3 linked regions of the Lonchura striata genome follow. The protein of the gene in region 1 purifies or fractionates together with the protein of each later gene. This does not show direct contact. Links are inferred from orthologs where the notes say so. Each region holds a gene or a part of one and is shown on either strand. Other genes may lie near its edges. The genes, in order: GRB2, PTPN6 and DOCK1.

The links.
Region 2: the proteins of GRB2 (region 1) and PTPN6 purify together in Homo sapiens (affinity purification with western blotting; 4 studies listed by BioGRID and IntAct, with this or other methods). This does not show direct contact. The link is inferred for Lonchura striata from reciprocal best matches to the Homo sapiens genes GRB2 and PTPN6.
Region 3: the proteins of GRB2 (region 1) and DOCK1 purify together in Homo sapiens (affinity purification with mass spectrometry; 5 studies listed by BioGRID and IntAct, counting the BioPlex papers as one, with this or other methods). This does not show direct contact. The link is inferred for Lonchura striata from reciprocal best matches to the Homo sapiens genes GRB2 and DOCK1.

What each region holds. Positions count from the first base shown.
Region 1 is NC_134621.1:5,254,929-5,258,528, reverse strand, and holds the start of GRB2 (growth factor receptor-bound protein 2), read right to left. Parts: upstream 2,442-3,600; 5' UTR 2,398-2,441; intron 1-2,397. UniProt on the Homo sapiens protein: Non-enzymatic adapter protein that plays a pivotal role in precisely regulated signaling cascades from cell surface receptors to cellular responses, including signaling transduction and gene expression.
Region 2 is NC_134604.1:29,794,691-29,802,537, reverse strand, and holds the start of PTPN6 (tyrosine-protein phosphatase non-receptor type 6), read right to left. Parts: upstream 5,243-7,847; 5' UTR 4,937-5,242; intron 4,763-4,936; 5' UTR 4,675-4,762; coding exon 4,661-4,674; intron 654-4,660; exon of another isoform or gene 1-653. Other genes in the region: C2H12orf57 (protein C10), read right to left, coding at 6,152-6,300, 6,381-6,557, 6,664-6,721. UniProt on the Homo sapiens protein: Tyrosine phosphatase enzyme that plays important roles in controlling immune signaling pathways and fundamental physiological processes such as hematopoiesis.
Region 3 is NC_134609.1:30,111,209-30,119,055, reverse strand, and holds the start of DOCK1 (dedicator of cytokinesis protein 1), read right to left. Parts: upstream 4,685-7,847; 5' UTR 4,574-4,684; coding exon 4,528-4,573; intron 1-4,527. UniProt on the Homo sapiens protein: Involved in cytoskeletal rearrangements required for phagocytosis of apoptotic cells and cell motility. Along with DOCK1, mediates CRK/CRKL regulation of epithelial and endothelial cell spreading and migration on type IV collagen.

The sequences.
Region 1 (3,600 bases):
TACTACTACCACCATCAGATATATTGTCAGCATACAAAGGAGTGATGTTTCCAGGTAACAATGTTAACAGCAGCTGCAGTGTGCAGCAAAACTTTAACTTTCCTGACTTTAGACAAAAGTGTAGCTGAAGTTTAGGCATTAAAGTTGTATCTGAAAGAGGGAAAAGCTTTGAAAATATTAAACCAAGATATTCACACAGCAAATATTAGGAAAGGTAAAGCCAAGGCATAATTCCCTTAAATTCTCTTAAGGAAGCATTTGCTGCTTACAATATTATTAAATAAGTTCTTACACACATTCAGCCATGCTGTTATTAAAACATGAGCAAGCCAACTGCGTGAGTGGGGAAAAAAGCACAGCTGTATCTGGTTCAGGCAGAGAGCAGTGCAACAGGACACGTTACTGCAGTGAACCCAGTCCACAGACTGCAAGTGGAGTAAGACTGGTATGAATGAATAACAGCCAATATATGAATACAATGATTACATGTTACAAAAATTTTCAGATGATCTTGCTAGAGAAATGACTAAGACTTCTCAAAATATCAGTGTTTCTCACCTTACTGTGACTTGGGTTAAGACTTCCTTTGCTCTTAAAAATACTGGGAGGGGTAAGAGGAAGAAAAGGCAGCAGATGCAGCCAACAGTAAATGCTCATTAGTAGTAGTGCTGCAGCTCAGGATGGAATAAAAGTAATTATAAATACAAACCTCCCTGTAGTGGCCAACAGGAAACAATTCTCATGCTCACTTCAACAGATATTTCAAAAAGCACACAGGCAAAGGTGAGCTTTTTTCATTACTCTTAGAAACAGCATGGTTTTTAAACAAAAGAGAGCTTTCTCATTGTTCTCTTTTCACTGTTTTACTGCTCTTCTGGAAAGTGATACAGGCAGGAATAGAACAACAGACAGTTTAGAAAAGCCAAAGAGAGGCAAGATAGATTCACTAGGAGATTTTGGAAAGAATCAGATCCTCAACTTCATCAACTGTTTTAGGACAAAACATTATTGAGGGTGTTGGAAAGAAAAATGTGTGCATACATCATCGGGAAGACATGCAGAAATGCAAGTGTCAGGCTCTAGACAAAAGAATAGAAAGTTAAAATTGTAAGGGCAGAACACTAATTCAAATTAACCAAATAAGGAAGTATAACATAATAAAGGAACAAAGTAAAATATAAATTAGATTATTAACATATAAACCCCAGAACATTCAGGATCACAATTATCCCCCTGATCTACCAGCTTAATGCGATTCAACTTCCTTCAGCACCAGACAACTCAAGATATTACTTACAAAACTAAGCTACAGTACAAAGCACAGAAAACTTCACCTCTGCCAGAATTTATTTACTGGCAGTTCTTTTTTTTTTTTTTTTTTTCTTATTTTAAACATTGTAAAACTGCTTTAAAAGTTACAAACTTAGCTGGTATGATGAAACACCCAAATATGGCATGACAATCAACCTAAGAGATGATAACAACTGAAAGGTCTTTTTGTGGCACAAATTCTAAATTTCCAAAGTTGGCACAGAAATGGATTACAAACAACACTGTGTTTGAAGATTGATTAACCATCTGTGGTCCTTCAGATTTTGTCCCTTGACCCCAGGCATTTAATAATTTTTGAAACAAAGAATTAACTTCCCTAAGCACTGTATCTGTGAATTGCTCTTGCAGTTACTAACTGTGCTACAGAATAGTTTTCACTGTAGGTTATAAAAGAGGTGTCTGAGTCAGATGTTGTGGGAGTTAACAAGGCTGCATCCTTGTCTTCTACAGATTATTTGAAACTATATTGGCAAGTCAAACCTTGTCCCACAAAACCAGCACTGGTTCTGAAGAAGGAGGTTCAGAAGAGAAGGAAGAGGCCAAGAGAAAAATGTCCTTCTCCGTCACAGAAACGCACGTTTGAAGCATGACCCCAAACGTGTTTGGAGACAGTGTAGCAGGGATGTTATCCTGCCTACAGGGTACTTGCAGCATTTTAACCTTTGGAAGCGGCCTTAAGTTACAGAACTCGTTTTGGGGAATACAAAAGGTAAGCCCCAAGAACCACGACCAGCCACACGCCGCAGCCCTAGAGCAGAGAGAAAAGCGACCCCCGCCCGGTGCTGCCCGTACGCGAGCCGGGAATCTCGCCGAGCAGATGACGCCTCTGGAGCCCAAAGCTCATTTCCACCACCCCCCCACCGGCAGAGCCCGCATCCTCTCCACCCCCCGCGACCCGGCCAGGCCCGGCGGGACACGGGGCCGGCGCCGAGGCGGAGCGCAGCGAGGAGAGCGGAGCACCGCGGGGCCCAGGCCGCGGCACCGGGGGCTCAGCGTGCGCCCTCCCCGCTCCCCGCCCCGGCACGGCCCCCGGCGGGCGGCGGCCCTGCACAGGCCCGGACTCACCGCGCAGCGCTGGGCGCTCCCGCCGCCTGCCCGGCCCCGCGCGGCCCGGCCCGGCCGCCGCTCCAGCGCCGCCTCAGCCGCCGCTCCGGCCCCGGCCCGGCCCCCCGCCCGCCGCGCCGCCGGTCCCGCCGCAGCTCTCGCGAGAGCCGCGCTGTCAGCGCCCTCCGCGGGAGCCTGCGCGCTCCCCGCCCCGCCGGCAGCGCGGGCACGCCTCGCGCGTGCGCAGCACCGGCCCGACCTGCCCTGCCCCGGCCGCGGGCGGGGACAGGCGGCGGCCGAGCGGCGCGGCGCGCACCGGCCGCCACGGGTACCTGAAAGGAGGGCGTAGCCAGGCGGGGCTCGGGCTTTTCCAGCCCACTAGCCATAGGACAAAAGCGCAGCGTGAAAGCTGCGCCAGGGGAGGTTCTGGTTGTATATCAGGAAGAATTTTTCCACCGAAATGGTTATGAACCGCTGCAACGGGCTGCCCAGCAGGTGGTGGAGGCACCGTCCCTGCAGGTGTTTAAGGAAAGACTGAACCTGGCACTCAGTGCCATGGTCTCGAGGTGTTGGATCACAGGTTGGCCTCGCTGGTCTCCGTGGTCTTTTCCAACCAAATTGAGTCTGTGATTCTGCTATCGAGGCTCTGTTAACACCTTGGGGAGGAGGCCCTGAGTTTCTGGAGGAGAAATCACGCTGGCTTTGTGCACAATACTTGCTTAATTTGTCAGTGTCTCCACTTCTCTGTAAGACAGGGCCATGTGCTACACCATGGAGCCAGCAAGGAGGAATTGATCTAGAAATTCTCTAACTACCAGAGATGCACCCCAGCTTGTCCAGGCAGTGTTTGAGCAGACACCGAGGCGTGCAGAGCTGCTCCCAAAGCTCAGAGCAGAGAACACACCTGGTGAGCCGTTCCTTGACAACTGCCATCTCTCCTGAGCAGTGATTAAGGCACCCATGCTGTAGGAACAAATAGTTTAATCACACATGGCAATTACAGCATCCACAGAGACAAAAATTCAGATTGCACAGGCAGCTAATGTCAGGGTTTGCATGGATGACCCTCCTGACATTCTTTTAGCTTGAAAATACTCTTAATTATACAGTAAAGCAGTTGCTCAGGTAAACATCAGGCCTCAATCCTTTGATAAAGGCATAAATAAAAAAAGCTTTCCTATGGCTCTAGGAAGGAAAGGTGGTTTCTGAACAAGAAAAGCCTCT
Region 2 (7,847 bases), on another chromosome or scaffold:
GGAGAAAGAAGAGGCAGCCAAGTGGCTGCCACCAAAGCAACCCAAAAAACACAGAGGACAAATCAGTTTGCGCTGGAAAGGAAAGGGAAGTCGGAGGTCTGTGCCGGGGCACCCAATGCCAAACTGTTCCTGTGCCTCTTGGGAGCTGGCCATGTATCTCTCCTGGAGCTGAGTCAGTCCATGCAGACCCTCTCCATCCACCTTTTCCTGGACAGGTGCCTTGCTCTCTGGCCCGCTGTGCAGTGCTGCTGGCCACGAGCCCGTACACAGCGGGGCACGCACGGCTCCGGGAACAGGAAGCGCTCTGAGCCATCCACTCCGCAGCCCCAGGCTGCTTTGCATACACTTCTGCTTCTCCTTTTGCGTCTTTCCTCCCCATAGCCCCTATTATTTTTGGGTCTCTGCCTTTAGCACACAAGGGCTGACTCTTCTCATGCTTCTTAGATTCTGGCCATGTTCACAAAACTCAGTTCTGCTCGTCCCCTGTTCCCCTTTTCTTCCAAAAGGCCAATGAGCAACACAAATGGTCCCAAATTTCCCACATGCTCTGTACAGGCACAGAGGGGAATCCGTGTGAATCCAGAGCTGCAGGCTTCAAGGTCCAGGCCAGTGTTCTGAGCACAGCAGTGCCTGCCTGAAACCAGCCTGCCATGGGATGGGACTGACACAGGCAGCAGTAGCTCAGAAGGGATGGGAAGGCTGGGAGAGGGTGGTGCAGCTGCCCAGGAAGGCAGACAGAGACCAGGACAAACAGCTACTACCTAAAGAGAGTCCACACAGCACTGAGGGAGCTGAGCTGAGCACCTTGAAAATCCCAGCACTCCATACTGAGGCCAAAGCTGACAACCAGGTACAAAAAAAAAAGAAGGAAAATCATTCCAGTCACATAGCTACTTCCTGCTGTGGCCCACAACTGCCCTGCCCACAAGACTGGCTTCAAGGTCTGCAGGTCTGGTGAAAGAATGCGAGCTAAGCAGTGGCCTAAGAGTGCAATCCAGCTGGCAAAGGAGCCTGGCTTTTCCCTGGGGCCATCTCAGCTACCCTGTGTGGTGTGGGCAGCAGCAATAGCAACAGCAAGAGCCTTGCCCATTTCGAGCAGCAGCAGACTTCCCCACACACCACCAGACTGGGAAATCCTGCAAAAAGATGAACAGGCTGCTAGCTAAGACCTAGACAAAAACTCGTGGCCAAGACAGAAACCAGCAACAAAGGGAAGTACAGGAGAGAAGAGTGGGAAGCTAAACTTCATTGCTAGAAAGGCAACCCAAGCACCTACAACAGCTTCCTTAGAAATGCTTCTGGTTTCATGCACATGGTGAGCTGGGGTGTGGTGAGCTGCAGGCAGCCAGAGGTACTGACTTAGAACTGATATTAAAAACCAAGGACATTTTAAATGCATGAGACCAACTCAAGGGAATTTCTGCACAAAGTTGTAGAAGTTGCACCAGAAAAACAGCACCTAAGTCAGTCTAGCAGGAACAGGAAACAAGTGTTGTCTATAGCCAAGGGAGAAAAGGCCTGAACTTCCAGGGAGCAGTCCCAGAAATTAATTCCCAATATCAAAAGCATATTAGAGTATGCAGAATAAATACCAAGCCAAGGCAGTCAAAAACCAAAACTTAGGCACCCCTGCACCCTACACTGAAGGAGAAAATCTGTCTGAGGAACTGAACATTAGTTGGACAAAGAGGAACAGGGAAAGAAAAAGGTAGCAAAGAGCCCAGACCAGAATAACAAAGGGTGAGAGAGCATTTATCCCATGTAACTCAGTATCCTCCAGAAGGACAAGCCACAGGGTGCAGTGTAATCTCTTGATAGTATTTTTGTGGACAAAAATCCCATATTACATAATTTATAGGATGACTTTATGCTTCTGCTTGCTTTCATTTTAGGAAAGGAGTGGATGCATACAGCTGCCCTGGTGTGTTTGATCTGGGCCATCTAATTAAAAACTACCAGTAAGGAAAGGAAATGTCACCACAGAGAAGCCATCAGTCAGTATCTTCAAGGTTGTTCTCCCAAATGGCTGCAGCATGGAACAGCTGAGCCACTAAATATAATAAGACTATAACTGAGCCACTAAACCACTTTTTTTAATATAATTAAGAGGTCAAGAGATTTCAGCAAAGAGACTACTCTTACACTGTTTGGCTTTCAGTACAACACAGGTGTTAGAACCTCATCTTGTAAATCCCTTGGGGAAGCAGGCCACAGCTAGCACAGTAACAAAATTTAAAGCAGAAGATAAATGAAATAGCTAATTAAAAGACACACATCTGGATTCTACAAGAAAAAAAAGGCCCTGAGAAACTGGAAAGGATCCAGCATAATGCCACTAATGCAGTGAAGAGCCTGGAGCATAGCAGAGAGCAAGCTGGGTTTATTCAGCTTGAAGAAAAAATGTTTAAGGAGGGCTTTAACACTTCTCTGAGACTACCTAAAAGGGAACGTGGGGGTTTAGAGATGCTGAGTCAGGTTCTGTTTTGTGGGACACAACATAAAGACAAGAGGCAACAGGCATCACTTGCAGCAAGGGAAATTCTGCTTAGGTATCAGGAGAAACTGCACATGTGCTCCGCCCCAGGGGGGTTCAGCACTTGCCACAGGTCCCCAGAGCAGCTGAGGAACCTCCACCCTGGCCACTGTCAGCATTCAGGCCCTGAGCCACCTGAGCTAGTTTTGGAGCTGCAGGGCTGGGACTAGGCAATCCAGAGGTCAAAATGGTTGTCAAAGGAAGAGCAGAGAGAAAGACTGTGCACAGAGTTTCTTTTGCCCTCCTACTTCCTAAGCCTCTGTTAGCAGCTACTTGTAGTCAACTGTCAAATGCACAACAAATTTTGTGCCCTTTGGCAAAGAGCTCTATTGCTCAGTTACAGAAACACCCCCTCCTTTGACTTGCTTATAACCTGCTCCCTGCCTCTTTTTTAACACCTGGTTGCTGTAAAGAAAGAAAAATCTGGGCGATTCCTGTTTCTCACCCCCTGCTCCAAGCTGCTCATGGTAACAGACCCGAAACATCTGTATCCATCCTCAACTCTTTGCCAGGATGAAGACTCCAGGCCTACTAAGGGGTTTCTTTTTGTAGAGAACTATTCTATACCTCTGACCACCTTTGCTGTCCCTCTCAGAGATATTTCCAATTCTGGCATTTTGATTTGGAGGTAAGAGTGAAAGTGGGCACAGAGCTGTGGTGTCCAAAATGCTGGTGAATCATGGACAGTGATGATTTCTGATGTTCACTATAACCAAGCACTAAGCTAACAATTGCATGGAGTTCTATAATCAAGGAGAGGTTATCATTAGTTCACAGTCATTGTTGCATATGCAATTTTTCTATTATTTTTCTGTATGAACATTGTTTTACATAAGCCTTTTCATCTCCTGTTCTACTGCCCACTCAATCATTAGGTCTTTCTGAAATTATTCACAAGTCAACTCCCACCCTGTTATCCTCAATAACTTTCTATCATCATCCAATTTTCTCACCTCACCAAGCTGTATTCCCAGGCAACTTGGGAATATACTGAACAGCATGTATTTCAGATAAGACCCCTGTGATCTGACCAGTGATGACTTCCGTTTGCTATAAAAATGGGATATTAATTCCCACCTTCCATTTACTATTCTCTAATAAATCTTTACCCAGGAAAACCTTCACCTTCTTTTTTTAATGTTGTGATTTCAGCCTTATTTGAAGACTTTGATGAGAAAATCTTGTCAAATTCTTTAAATCCAAGCAAACTGTACTGGCCAGACCACAAGCTTGCTAAGTCCCTCAAAACCCTCCAGTTTTACAGGACCATATCTGCCTTTACAAAAGCAGATGCTGGTGTTTTCTTTATTATCATATTCATTGCTTTCCCCATTATACTGTGCATCCTTTGCTCAGATAATAACTTTATTGTTCCATGCTTCCCTCACATTTTGGGGGAGCTAATTTGGAGCCCTTTTTGAGAATGAGCATTGCATGTGTTATGGAGATGATTTCAGACAGGAGGTTTTGCTGTTCTGTACGGAAGTCTGCTGTAATTCAGGCATTAGTGCAGAGCACAGGCTGCCTGGGGACGGGCAGATGGACCATCTTCTTGTGACTTGCCAAAGCCACATGCTCTCCATCAGGCCTTGGGGCTCCAGCACAGTGCTAGACCACTGTGGTTACCCAAATTCTTACCAGAGAGCCATGCCAGTGCAAATCCCATTTCCTGACACCCTTCCACAGCAGCCTCCAGAGCAAGGTACCTGTTTGGACCGACTGTGAGGATTGTATGTCCTGCTTTTTGTTCCATAAAGGGCTAGATAGACTGCAGCAAATAAAAGAGTGACTAGTATTTTAAAGGCCAGGCAGTTGACATCTCTCTCTGCAAAACCATTCAGAGATGCTGCAGGGTGGCAGAGGAACTGCAGCAGACTGGGCATCACAAACCCTGTTTGCTCATTATCAAAGGGAGAAGGAGCAACAGGAAAAATGTAAAGCACAGCAAGCTCCAATCCTCTGGCTACCTCTACCAGAGGAGTCAGCCCTCTGGCTACCTCTAATAGACAGCTCCTATTAAAAACTGTGGGGTTTTCCCTTTTGTGTCTGATTCCTACTGCTGCTATTTTTATTTTTCTCACCAGCAACTCTTGTTTTCTTGCCCTAACTAGCATTCACAGCACTCACCCACGGGATGGCATCAGGGTCTTGTCTCTCAGATCCCCACTGATGGAGGACTGACAGGAGCTGGTGGAGGAAGTACCACAGCCCTCAACCAAGTGGGTCCCACTAAAGAAAATAAAGCAATATTGGAATTACCAAGAAAAGATCTTGAAAGGGACTTGGGGGAGAGATCAAAGACCTTGCTAGGGGAGAGGTGGCCTGGATGCTCATGGCGGTGAGTGCCGGGGCGCTGAGCAGCAGCCGGCGCTGCTTGCGGCTGCAGCACCTCCCGTGACTCACCTGAGCCCGGCGCGCACCGGCGAACCCCGAACTCCGCCCGCTCCCAGGCGGACTGATAGCTCCAGGTCAGGCAAACCTCAGGCCTCAAGCCGCGGGCTTAATTCTCACCATTTGCAAAGCACTTCCTGGACTGTAGTTAATGAATAATCAGAGGGGTGGGGGAAGGCCAAGGCCAAGCTCGGAGAGGTAGATGGAGACGGAAGGGACCGACTGCTCTTCCTGCCTCCCATCCACTGAGCTCACGCCCTCGCTGGCTGCATTCCTGCCCGGTTTGTAACCGGGAGCACAGAACGCAGCTCGCTCACACCTGGCTCCCTGCTCTCCCAGGCCTGGCTCCTTCACGCTCAGCCCTTTTCTCCCCCCTTCTGTCGCCAAATAACTCAATTCTTCCAATGGCAACAGGGACAAAGGGCAGGAGGCTACAAGCGGACATCCTTGGTGTCCCTCTGAACCACACTGGAAAGAAAATATTGCAAAGGAGCAAGGCTGCACCACTAGGTTGATCCCTCTGCAGTCCAAGAAAAAACGTGAGATAAAAATTGTATGTTGTTTATGTTGTTCTAATCCAGGCTGCAGCAAAATGGGGCAAGTCCAGTCCTCCTACGCTCGGACACTCCCTGCTGCAGCTCTCTGCTGCCTTTTGCACTAAGGATAATGTGCTGGATTGCACATTCAGCCACAAAACAAGGCAGCCACAGGCACTGGGGGCAGGAGTAAATTAGCACTGACCCTGCTGGGACAGGAGCCTCAATGGCATTTACAACACTTGCTGAACAGCACTAGATTGTGTTGAGGGACGCATTTCCCAGTATGCTTCAAACAGAAAGTCTGAAAATGCTTGCCCTTGTAAAGTGCTTAATACCTGTCACTCTGATATAGGATCCTCGGGCTTCACACTGAGGCTCTGCACAAACCTTTTTGCAAAAGATGGCACATACTGGGCCTTCCAAAACAGCGTTGCAAGTGTCATGCAGAGAGCACTGCTGTACCTGCCTCTGCAGCAGGGAGCAGCACTGCTGAGCTCACGGCCATTCATAGAACACGGGCACTTTCAACACACGTTTTATTCACGAGCAGACACACGAGCGGGGCACGAAACATCCCATTCCTTCCAGGATCGCGTCTCCCTTGTTCAAGTGCTCCGTTCCCAGCGCTGACAGGACCCGCACCTTGGAAGGAGGGCACCAGCCGGAGCACCGGGAGAACTCCGCGGGCTCAGGAGGCGGCAACTCCGCCAGTGCCGGCCCCGTGCGGCGGCAGCGTCATGGGCGGCAGGAACATGGCCTTGAGCTTGCCGGACATGCTGGCGATCTCCGGGTCCTGCGACTCGTAGGACTTGATCAGCCGGGCGAACTTCAGGACGCCTGCAAGGAAAGGGGGTGGGCGGGAGGCCCCGCTGCCCCGGCGGGCCCGGAGCATCCCGCCCGGCGGGGGAACAACCCACCTTCGCCGTCGCTGCTGAACCCGTAGGCCTTGATCACGTCCTGCTGGATCTGGGTGGCCACGGGCAGGAGGAACTGCAGCATCTTGCCCATGTCGTTGCAGGCGTTGTCCCGAGCCTCCTCCATGCGCTGCGCGTTCTCGGGCGCCCCGAACGCCTTGATCACCTCGGCCAGCACCGCTGCGAGACGCGAGCGCTCAGCCGCCCGCCGGCCCCCCGCGTCCAGCCGGGCGGCACGGGCGCCCCGCCGCCGGCCCGCCCGGGAGACGGAGCCTCCCGCACTCACCCTTCGCCTGCTCCGCGCTCAGCGCCGGCGGCACCGGGGGCTGCGCGGAGGCCGCCATGGGGCGCGGCGGGGCGGCCGCGGCTCCGGCGCCAGACCGAGCAGCGGCCCCGGCGCGGCGCGGCCCGAGCGCGGCTGCGCCTCCCCGCCCCGTTCTGCCATTGCACCGCGGTGGGAGCGGCTTCCCGCCAGCGCGGGAAACCTGCTGGACAAATTCTAAAAGAGCTGAAATCACTGCCCGCCTTCCGCCACGACCGAGGAGCCCCTCCCGGCCGACCCACCCCGAGGTGAGGGCGAGGTCCGCTTTTCCCTCCTGCGAGCCCCTCCGTGGGCCCCCGTCCGGGTGCCGTCCCCCCGCCCCGCTCCACGCCGATACCGACGGCTCCGCCGCCGCCGAACGGACCCGGCCGTGCCGCCCGGCCCGTATGCAAATTTATCGCTTCTCATTGGCCCGCGGTGCGCACGCCCCGCCCCTCCCCGCGGCGCCGCCGCGCCTTTCCCGAGGCGGTGCCCGCTTCCAGCCTCTCCCAGTTTTCACCGGGAGTGCTTCTGCCGTTCCCGTTCTAGCCCCACTGGAAAGAAATGAACACACCAGAGTCCCGTTTCTGAAAGGGTTTTTTTGTCTTTTTTTTTTCCTTTTTTAAGAGCTTCATATATATATTTATATATATATATAAATTATTAGAATGTGTGTCAGGGCTTGGGAGTGCGTGGGGAACATCGTTTGGGTGGTTGTTTTTCTTTCTTTTCCATAGCTGGGTTGTTGGTTGTTTTCTCCTTTAATGGTTAAGTAAATATATATAATATATGGGGGACCAATCGAGAGATACAACTGTGAAATCAGAACACGCACGCGGGGGCAAGGGAGTCACAAGTTGCTACATAAAACTGCCACGTCTAATAGGATGTGCATGAGTTAAAGTACATCAATTAGGATGGGTGAGGGGAAAGGGGCAGCCACCATCTTTACAGACAGTCCCAGGACGCAGTGTAACCGCTGGGCCACGCCAGCTCTCCCCACGGGGCTCAGAGGGGTCACGGTGCTGATGGCAGTCTCCAAAACAGTCTGCTGGTGCTTCGCACCTCATGGCCGTGCCCGTTCCCGGCAGCTGGGGAAAGCACAGCCACCGTCCTGCAAACAGTCCTGCAGTGCTTTGCACCCCGATGGCTGGGACCGGACCCTCCGC
Region 3 (7,847 bases), on another chromosome or scaffold:
TGCCACTCCTGCCATGGCAGGGACATCTCCCACTGTCCCAGGCTGCTCCAGCCTGGCCTTGGGCATTGCCAGGGATCCAGGGGCAGCCCCAGCTGCTCTGGGAATTCCATCCCAGCCACTCCCCACCCTCACAGGGAACAAATTTCCTTCCCAATATTCCATCTAATCACATTCTCTGTCATTTTAAAGCCACCTCCCCTTGTCCTGTCCCTCCATCCCTTGCAGAGTTTCTCTCCATCTTCCTTGTCAGCTCCTTCAGGCACTGTAAGTCCACAATGAGGTCACCCCAAAGCTTCTCTTCTCCAGGCTGAACAATCCCAATTCTCTCATCATTTCCTCCCAGCAGAGGGATGTAACAAATAAAACCTGAGCTGGGTGTCCATGGGATGGCTCTAAGAAATTGAACCTGCATGTGCTCACTCCAACACTCTGATCAATGCAGCAGCAAATCTTCCATGCACACATTTTACACTTCCACTTTTGCTCCACAGGCTTGGGATGTGTCACAGCACATCCCTGCCATCACTGACAGAAGTCACCTGTCCTGTCCTGCCAGGCAGCTCCAAACCTCCCAGCACACCACCACTAAAATCACCAAGATTCATTCCAAAGATGCATCTTTCTCCATCTCCTTCAAATGTTTCCTTCCCTGCTCTGAGGCACAAATATGCACAAGATCATCACCTTAAACAAGAGTCTCCACATGCCACCACAGCTCCCCACAGCCTGGACTGTGACTCCAGGGTTCCAAAAAAGCCTTAAATCTGACCTACAGCACCACAGTCCTCCCTGAAGCAGCAGAAGAGAAGCAGCAGCACTCAGCTGTAGGATTTCCTCTTGACAAATCCTTATCCCCCCCCTTCAGAGAGACATTACAAGAGCAAAACTCAGCTACAAAACTCTTAAATCATGATCATTGCACCACCTTAGTCCACCAGCTCCTTAAAGAGCTCCCCTAATAATAAAATGTATACATTTCTGTGTACCTGGTGTGAAGGTATTTCCATAAACCCCTTTGGAAAAGCTTTCCCAATCTCAGAGAGGCACTACAACACCCTGACCATGAAGTGTGGCCAATGTCCCCACCTAAAATTAGGCTTGGTATTATTTGCCAAGTCATGACACACAAGAAAAATTCACCAGGAACAAACAAAAATACTGGAACTCACTGAATTTGGAAAAAAATTCCAAGACCATCAAGTCAAAGTCCAATCCCCATCTCCACTTTGTCACCAAGCCCAGAGCACTGAGTGCCACATCCAGTCCTTCCCTGGACCCCTTCATGGATGGGGACTCAAGCTCTGTAACTGGGAAGAGTTCTCCTTTTACACCTCACCATCCAAGGGCACATAGTATTAATTTTCTGTTCCACCATTTACTCAGTTTAAAAAAAAAAAAAGCTACCACAGCAGTGGTCTGATTACTCCATACGAACATAAACCTTTGAACACAAAGGCATTTTAAAAACCATACTTTTATCCACAGTAGCAGCAGTTCTACCTCACTGCATTCTCAGCCCAAAGGAAAAGGGGCAAAGAACAGGAGAATTCAGGATTTGGAAGCTACCACAGGCACTGTGCACTGTCTCAGAGGTGCTGGCCAGGCTCCCAGACCTCCCAAAGCAGCTCCTTACATCCCTTCTCCCCAGGAGAAGGAAAAGCACCAAAATTACAAATCTCACATCACACTAAAAGCAAGGCATGAGAGACTAAGCAGCCACACTCCATGGCCACTGTGTGACACTGAGGGGACACAAACAGCTCTCAGGACCCTCTGATGTCCCCGTGGAGGAAGCCACACACCCATGAGGTCCCTTCCACAGAGCCACACTCCTCCCCACCAGCTCAGGGCGAGGGATGAAAGGCAGGATTGAGATGAAGGCCAAGGAGGAGCAAGGGGGAGCAGGGAAAAGCTCCTCCAAGGAAGCTGATGATGCCCCCGTTCCGCCTGGCTCCCCACAGGTTACCCTGATGTCCCTATGATCCCATTAGCTCCACACCCATTCCTCCTGAACTCGCTCAGGAAGCGGAGCTGAGTCACTCTCCAGCTGCCTGCTGAGATAATGCCTCTGCACAGAGGCTCAGGGCAGCAAATGCACTTCAGAGGCACGCAGGGCATCCAGCAGCATCCCCAAATCCCACTGTGGGAGCGCTCCTTCACACACCTGTGTCCTACCAGCTGGCACTACAGGCTCCTTGGCATCACTCCTCCAGCTGCACCACAGCCAGCGGATCTTCGCCTCTTGAGATGTTACAAAAACTCTGTTGTGCACAGGGATATACCAGAGGAGGGGGAGAAGGGATTTAAATGTGTTATATAAGCACGTGTGTGTGTTTTCTATATACACAACTCTGCATACAGACATACGTACATTTCTGAGTTCCCACTGCTGTGAAATAAACATAGCCACAACACACCTTCCTAATATTTCTGCTTGGGGAAGCGTGCACAGAGAATCCCAGAATATTTGGGGTTGGAAGGCAACTCTGGAGATGATCCACTCCATCCCACCTGCAGCAGAACACACCCAGGCGGGTTGGGATGTCTCCATGCCCTCCTTGGGCAGCTGTTCCTGAGCTCTGCCACCCTTCATGGAAAGAAGTTTTTCCTCATGGTGAGGTAGAACTTCTCCTGGCTTAGTTGACAGCCATTGCTCCTCACCCTGCCACGGAGCACCACTGGAGTGACTCCATCCTTTTGGAGATATTTGCATGGATTGATGAGACACCCAAAGCCCTGCACATTATGTTTCACTAAGTCCCATTAGCATTTCTATTAGGGATTTTCTCCCTGGCAGACAATACTGAGTCAACATCAACCCCAGGACTAATCATGGCAAATAGAAAAAAAAATATTCTCAAGTCTGAATTTTCAGGTTAACAGTGCTGTCTCCAATTCTGTTTGGGACTACACAACTGTTGCATCAACTTCTCCATCTCCCACAACCTGCAAAAGCTAAAACATCAGAAGACTCACAGTGTGCTTTCTTAAAGGTCCATAAAACACATAGAACCAAACGGAATATTCATTTTCTTCAGAGGACACCAAAAAGAAGCTATTCTGCCCAAAGAAGCCTATAACAGAATGGCACCGGCAGTGAATCCAATGTTCAATTAGCTCTAAATTTATCTCCTTGTGACACTTCATCCACTTTCAACCCTCACATCACATCTCTGTCATGCAGCAGAGAAATCCCCGTTTGGTGAGGATCTCTCCCTTCTTGCAGGAAAAAGAAAACAAACTATCAGAGAAACATAAATCTACTATAAAACCATAGCAAACACCTCTGCAGAGCAGCGGACACAAAAAATACCAACCAGGCACGTTGCATGGGCTTTTTCAAACTGGGAAGGGTTTTTTACCCTTAAATTACATTTAAACCCACTTTTCTTAGCACACATGCAATCCCCCACACTGGAGATGTAAGTACACTGAAGCTATGTTACGAAACAAATCTATTTCACTTTTTTCTCTCATGCCACTTTCAAATTAATTTCAAGACATTCCTGGAAAGCTGGGCCTGGGCAGTCCCTCCCACCACAGCACCAGCCCTCCTGCAAAAGAGGAACTTGCTTTCGAGTGTCACTGGCTTTAACATCAGCTCATTCTACGTGACAATTCAGTCATTCCGAAATATCCATCCCACCCCACCCGGCAGAAAATTTGGAAACTTAACAAGCGACTGCCATCGGTGGCACTTCTGCTTCCCCGCGCTTGTCCTGCATCCTCAGCGCTGGAATTACCCACAGGTCCCACACACTGGAATTAGGATTTTTCTAGTCATTTTTAAAAGCCAAGCTGTCGTTTTCTAGGGACACACACACAGGATTTAAAATTAATTCCCACAATTCACTCAGGCTTTACTCAGCCTCAGAAACTCCCTTCTTCCTGCTCGCTTTGTCGATGAGGTTTAGCTGTGCGTTTCTATGAAAAGTTGTTCCTCACTATCAATCCAACCCAAGAACTGCGGCGGGCATTGAACTTCACGTTTCCAATTTGAATAGTCCAATTTATTATTTCCTTCCCCCACACAAGCGCTCATTCATGCCGCTAAAGTTCTCTGCGCCGCACCGCCGGAATAAAACCTTTTGCTCCGAACGCAACATCGTTAAACTCGGGAGGTTCGTGCCGAGAGAAGCACGAACCTCACCGGGGTTTGGTCCGGTTGAGTCCCAGCGGGGATGTCCGGGCCGGCAGCGGAACAATCCTGCTCTGCTCGGGCGGGACGGAAGGAGCGGGGTAGGAAATGGATCCCGGCGCGCAGGAAAGCCCCGATCCCTACGAGCATCCCAGCCGGGACCGCGCTGCCTGCGCCCCGGCCGGGCAGCGAGAGCCGCCGGGAAAACAAACACCTCGAGCGGCAGCAGCGCAGCCAGGGAGAAAGGCAACTTTCCCTGGCTCCCAGACAACCCCTCAAGTAGCCGGGAGGAGGGCGGGGGAGGCAGGAACCGGAGGAGAACGCGGCGCTGCACGCCGGCCATCCGCGGAGCCGGGGGCAGCCCCGGTGCGCAACAGGCGCGTCCTCACCTACGCCGTACTTCTCCTCCCTCTTGGTGGGCACCCAGCGGGTCATGGCGCCGGGAGCCGCCGGGATGCCACGGCCCCGCTCCCTACGCCGCCATTTTCCGACCGCGGGACGGGAAAAGTTTCTCCCGACGGCGGAGTCATGTGGTGCGGGCGGAGCCAGCCCGGCCCGGCCCGGCCGCCCTCCGCCCGCGGCTCCGCACAAAGGGAGCGCACGCCCGGCGCCGGCCTTTGGGCGTGCTGCCGCTCCGCCTGGCCCGGATACACCCGGCTGTTCCCACCTGTACCCGGTAAAGTCCCAGCTGCACCCGGTTATATCCTTGTATCCCAGGTGTACCCGGTTGTGGGCCATGCGTGCACCTGGTTATGTCCCAGGTATCTCCCCGCCTATTCCCGGTTATATCCCAGGTACACCCGGTTATGTCCCAGGTGCACCCAGGTGTGTCCCACCTGTACCCGGTAAAGTCCCAGATGCACCCGGTTATATCCTTATAGCCCAGGTGTACCCGGTTATGTCCCAGGTACCTCCCCGCCTATTCCCGGTGATGTTCCAGGTGCACCCGGTTATGTCCCAGGTGCACCCGGTTATGTCCCGGTACCTCCCCGCCTATTCCCGGTTAAGTCCCAGATGCACCCTGTTATATCTGTTTATCCCGGGTGCACCCGGTTGTGTGCCATGTGTGCACCCAGTTATGTCCCAGGTCCACCCGGTTATATCCTTATATCCCAGGTGTACCCGGCTGTGTCCCATGTGTGCACCCGGTTAAGTCCCGGGTGCCTCCCCGCCTATTCCACATTGTGTGCCTGGTGCCTCCCCATCTAGTCTCGGTTGTGTTTTAGGTGTACCCAGTTATGTCCCGGTACCTCCCTGCCTATTCCCAGTTACATCCCAGGTGTACCCGGTTAAGTTCCAGGTGTACCCGGTTATATCGGGGGTTCGGTCTCTTCCACCGGGCAGCACTGACAGAACAAGAGGACACAGTCTCAAGCTATGTCAGGGAAGGTCTAGGTCGGATATTAGGAAAAAATTTTCACCAAAACAGTAATAAGGCACTGGAATTGTTTTCCCAGGGAGGTGGTGGAATCACCATCTCTGGCTGTGTTTAAAAAAGATTGGACTTGGCACTTGGTGCTGTGGTCTGGTTGTGGTGTTAGGGCATAGGTTGGACTTGATGATCTCAGAGGTCTCTTCAAAGCTCATTATTCTGGGATTCTGTGTCCTGGTACCTCACCACCTATTCTGGGTTATGTCCCAGGTGCACCCAGTTATGTCCCAGTACCTCCCCGCCTATTCCCGGTTGTATTCCCGGCACCTCCCTGCCTCTCCCTGGTTGTGTGCCAGGTGCACCCCGTCGTGCTCTGCCCCAAAGGCTCTGGCTGCATCCTCCACGGAGGTGCAGCTTTAAAACAAAGGGTTTTTGGAATGTTTGATGGTTGGAGCGGGATGTGAGGCCAGAAGAACACTGGGGTCGAGCGAGGCCGAGTGCGGGTGTTGTAGCTGGGCCGGGAAAAGCCCCGGTACCGATGGGGGGAACCGATGGAGCAGCCCTGGGAGAAGGGCTCAGGCTCTGCTGGTGAGAGCTGGACATGCCCCAACCGTGTGGGGAAAAAACCTCCAGTCCTGGACTGATCCCACACCAGTATGGAGGAGGCAAATTCTGTCCTTCTGCCCCACCTGCCGAGCTGCCTCCAGCCCTGGGATCCAACATCAAAAGGACGTGGAGATGCTGGAGGAAGTCCAGAGGAGGCCATGGATACACCCCGAGGGTTGGAGCTCCTCTGGAGCCAGGCTGGAAGAGCTGGGGGTGCTCAGCTGGAGAGAAGCAGCTCCAGGGAGAGCTCAGAGCCTCTTCCAAGGGCTGAAGGGGTTCCAGGAGAGCTGGAGAGGGACTGGGGACAAGGGATGGAGGGACAGGATACAGGGAATGGCTCCCACTGCCAGAGGGCAGGGATGGATGGGATACTGGGAAGGAATTTTTGGCTGTCAGGCCCTGGCACAGGGTGCCCAGAGCAGCTGTGGCTGCCCCCGGAAGTGTCCAAGGCCAGGTTGGACACAGCTTAAAGATTATAAACCTTCTGATTTCTAGACCCAAGTCCAAAATCCTGTCCAAATCTAGCATCTCCTGCTTAATTAAGTGTGGAATAAATGATTACAAAAGAATAAGCAAGGGAAGTGAAACTTCCTGTTCCACATCCCTGTCGTCTTGGAGACATCCAGGACTGTGCTTTAAAAAATAAATAAATTTTAAAGCCTTTAGGAAATAGAAAATAAAGTGTGTAAAAGTCAAGAAACAGCAGAGTGCTAACACTTAAAAGGAATAAAGAGAAGTGAAATGACAGACTGGCTGTCATTTGCTAGGATTAGTCCTCTGACAAAGGGGAAGCCCTTTAGCACAAATTTAAGGATTAAGATAGATCCAGGGTTGAATCTTTTTTCTCCTTATTTTCTTGTGTAGTGTGGATGGCAAAGGACTATTTTCTGCAACAGCACTTTTGCTGTCAGCTTTTGAGATCAAGTGCTCAGAGCCCTGAATGAGTCTGCTCCTCTTCTCATGTACCTTCCCTTTTCCCACCCTTGGGGTTGGTTTCCCAGGAAATCACCAACGTGTTCAGACTCATCCAGGTTTTATTGTAGCTGTCCTGCAGAATCCCAAGGGCTGCTGGAGCCAGCTGCTGCACCTTTCTTCATTCTGCCCAGGAGTGAGGACATCAAAAGGTTCTCAAAGCCATGGCTTGTCCTCGTTCTCCTGCACTAATGGAGCAATGATTTAGGGCCTTCCCAAAAGCAGCTTACAAGGTGTCAGAATCTGAGGTATTGATGATTCCCAGATTGTAGAAATTCTCTGTCTCTCAGCCCCGCTGCCAAAGCAGAAGCCATAATTGGTCTGTGCTGGTTTCCAGGTTGTTTATTCTGTTTATCTCTCACATGTTCTGCTGCCCTGCCCAGCTCTGTCCTTCAGGGCAGCGTGTGGGGCTCTGCCCTCAGTGGGATGTGACAAACATTAAATACCAGAAACTCCCTGGGCTGCATTTACAAGAACGTGCCAATATCTGTCACCTACGTTGGACAGTGTGTCCCCAGCCTGAACCAACAGAAAAATGCCAACACCACAGTGAGACATGGAGGGCATGAAGAAGGAGAAAAAGGACAAGGCACACCCAATTTCCTCCATCTTGTCCCCTTTGGACCCCTCATCTAGAATCCTAAAATTTTACTTTTGCACCCGTGCCACACTTAATTATTACTGATATCAAACACTCAGAGCTGGTAATTGATCCTGTAAGGTTGAAAACTCTTTTCCATGGGCAGAGATCCCAGCCAG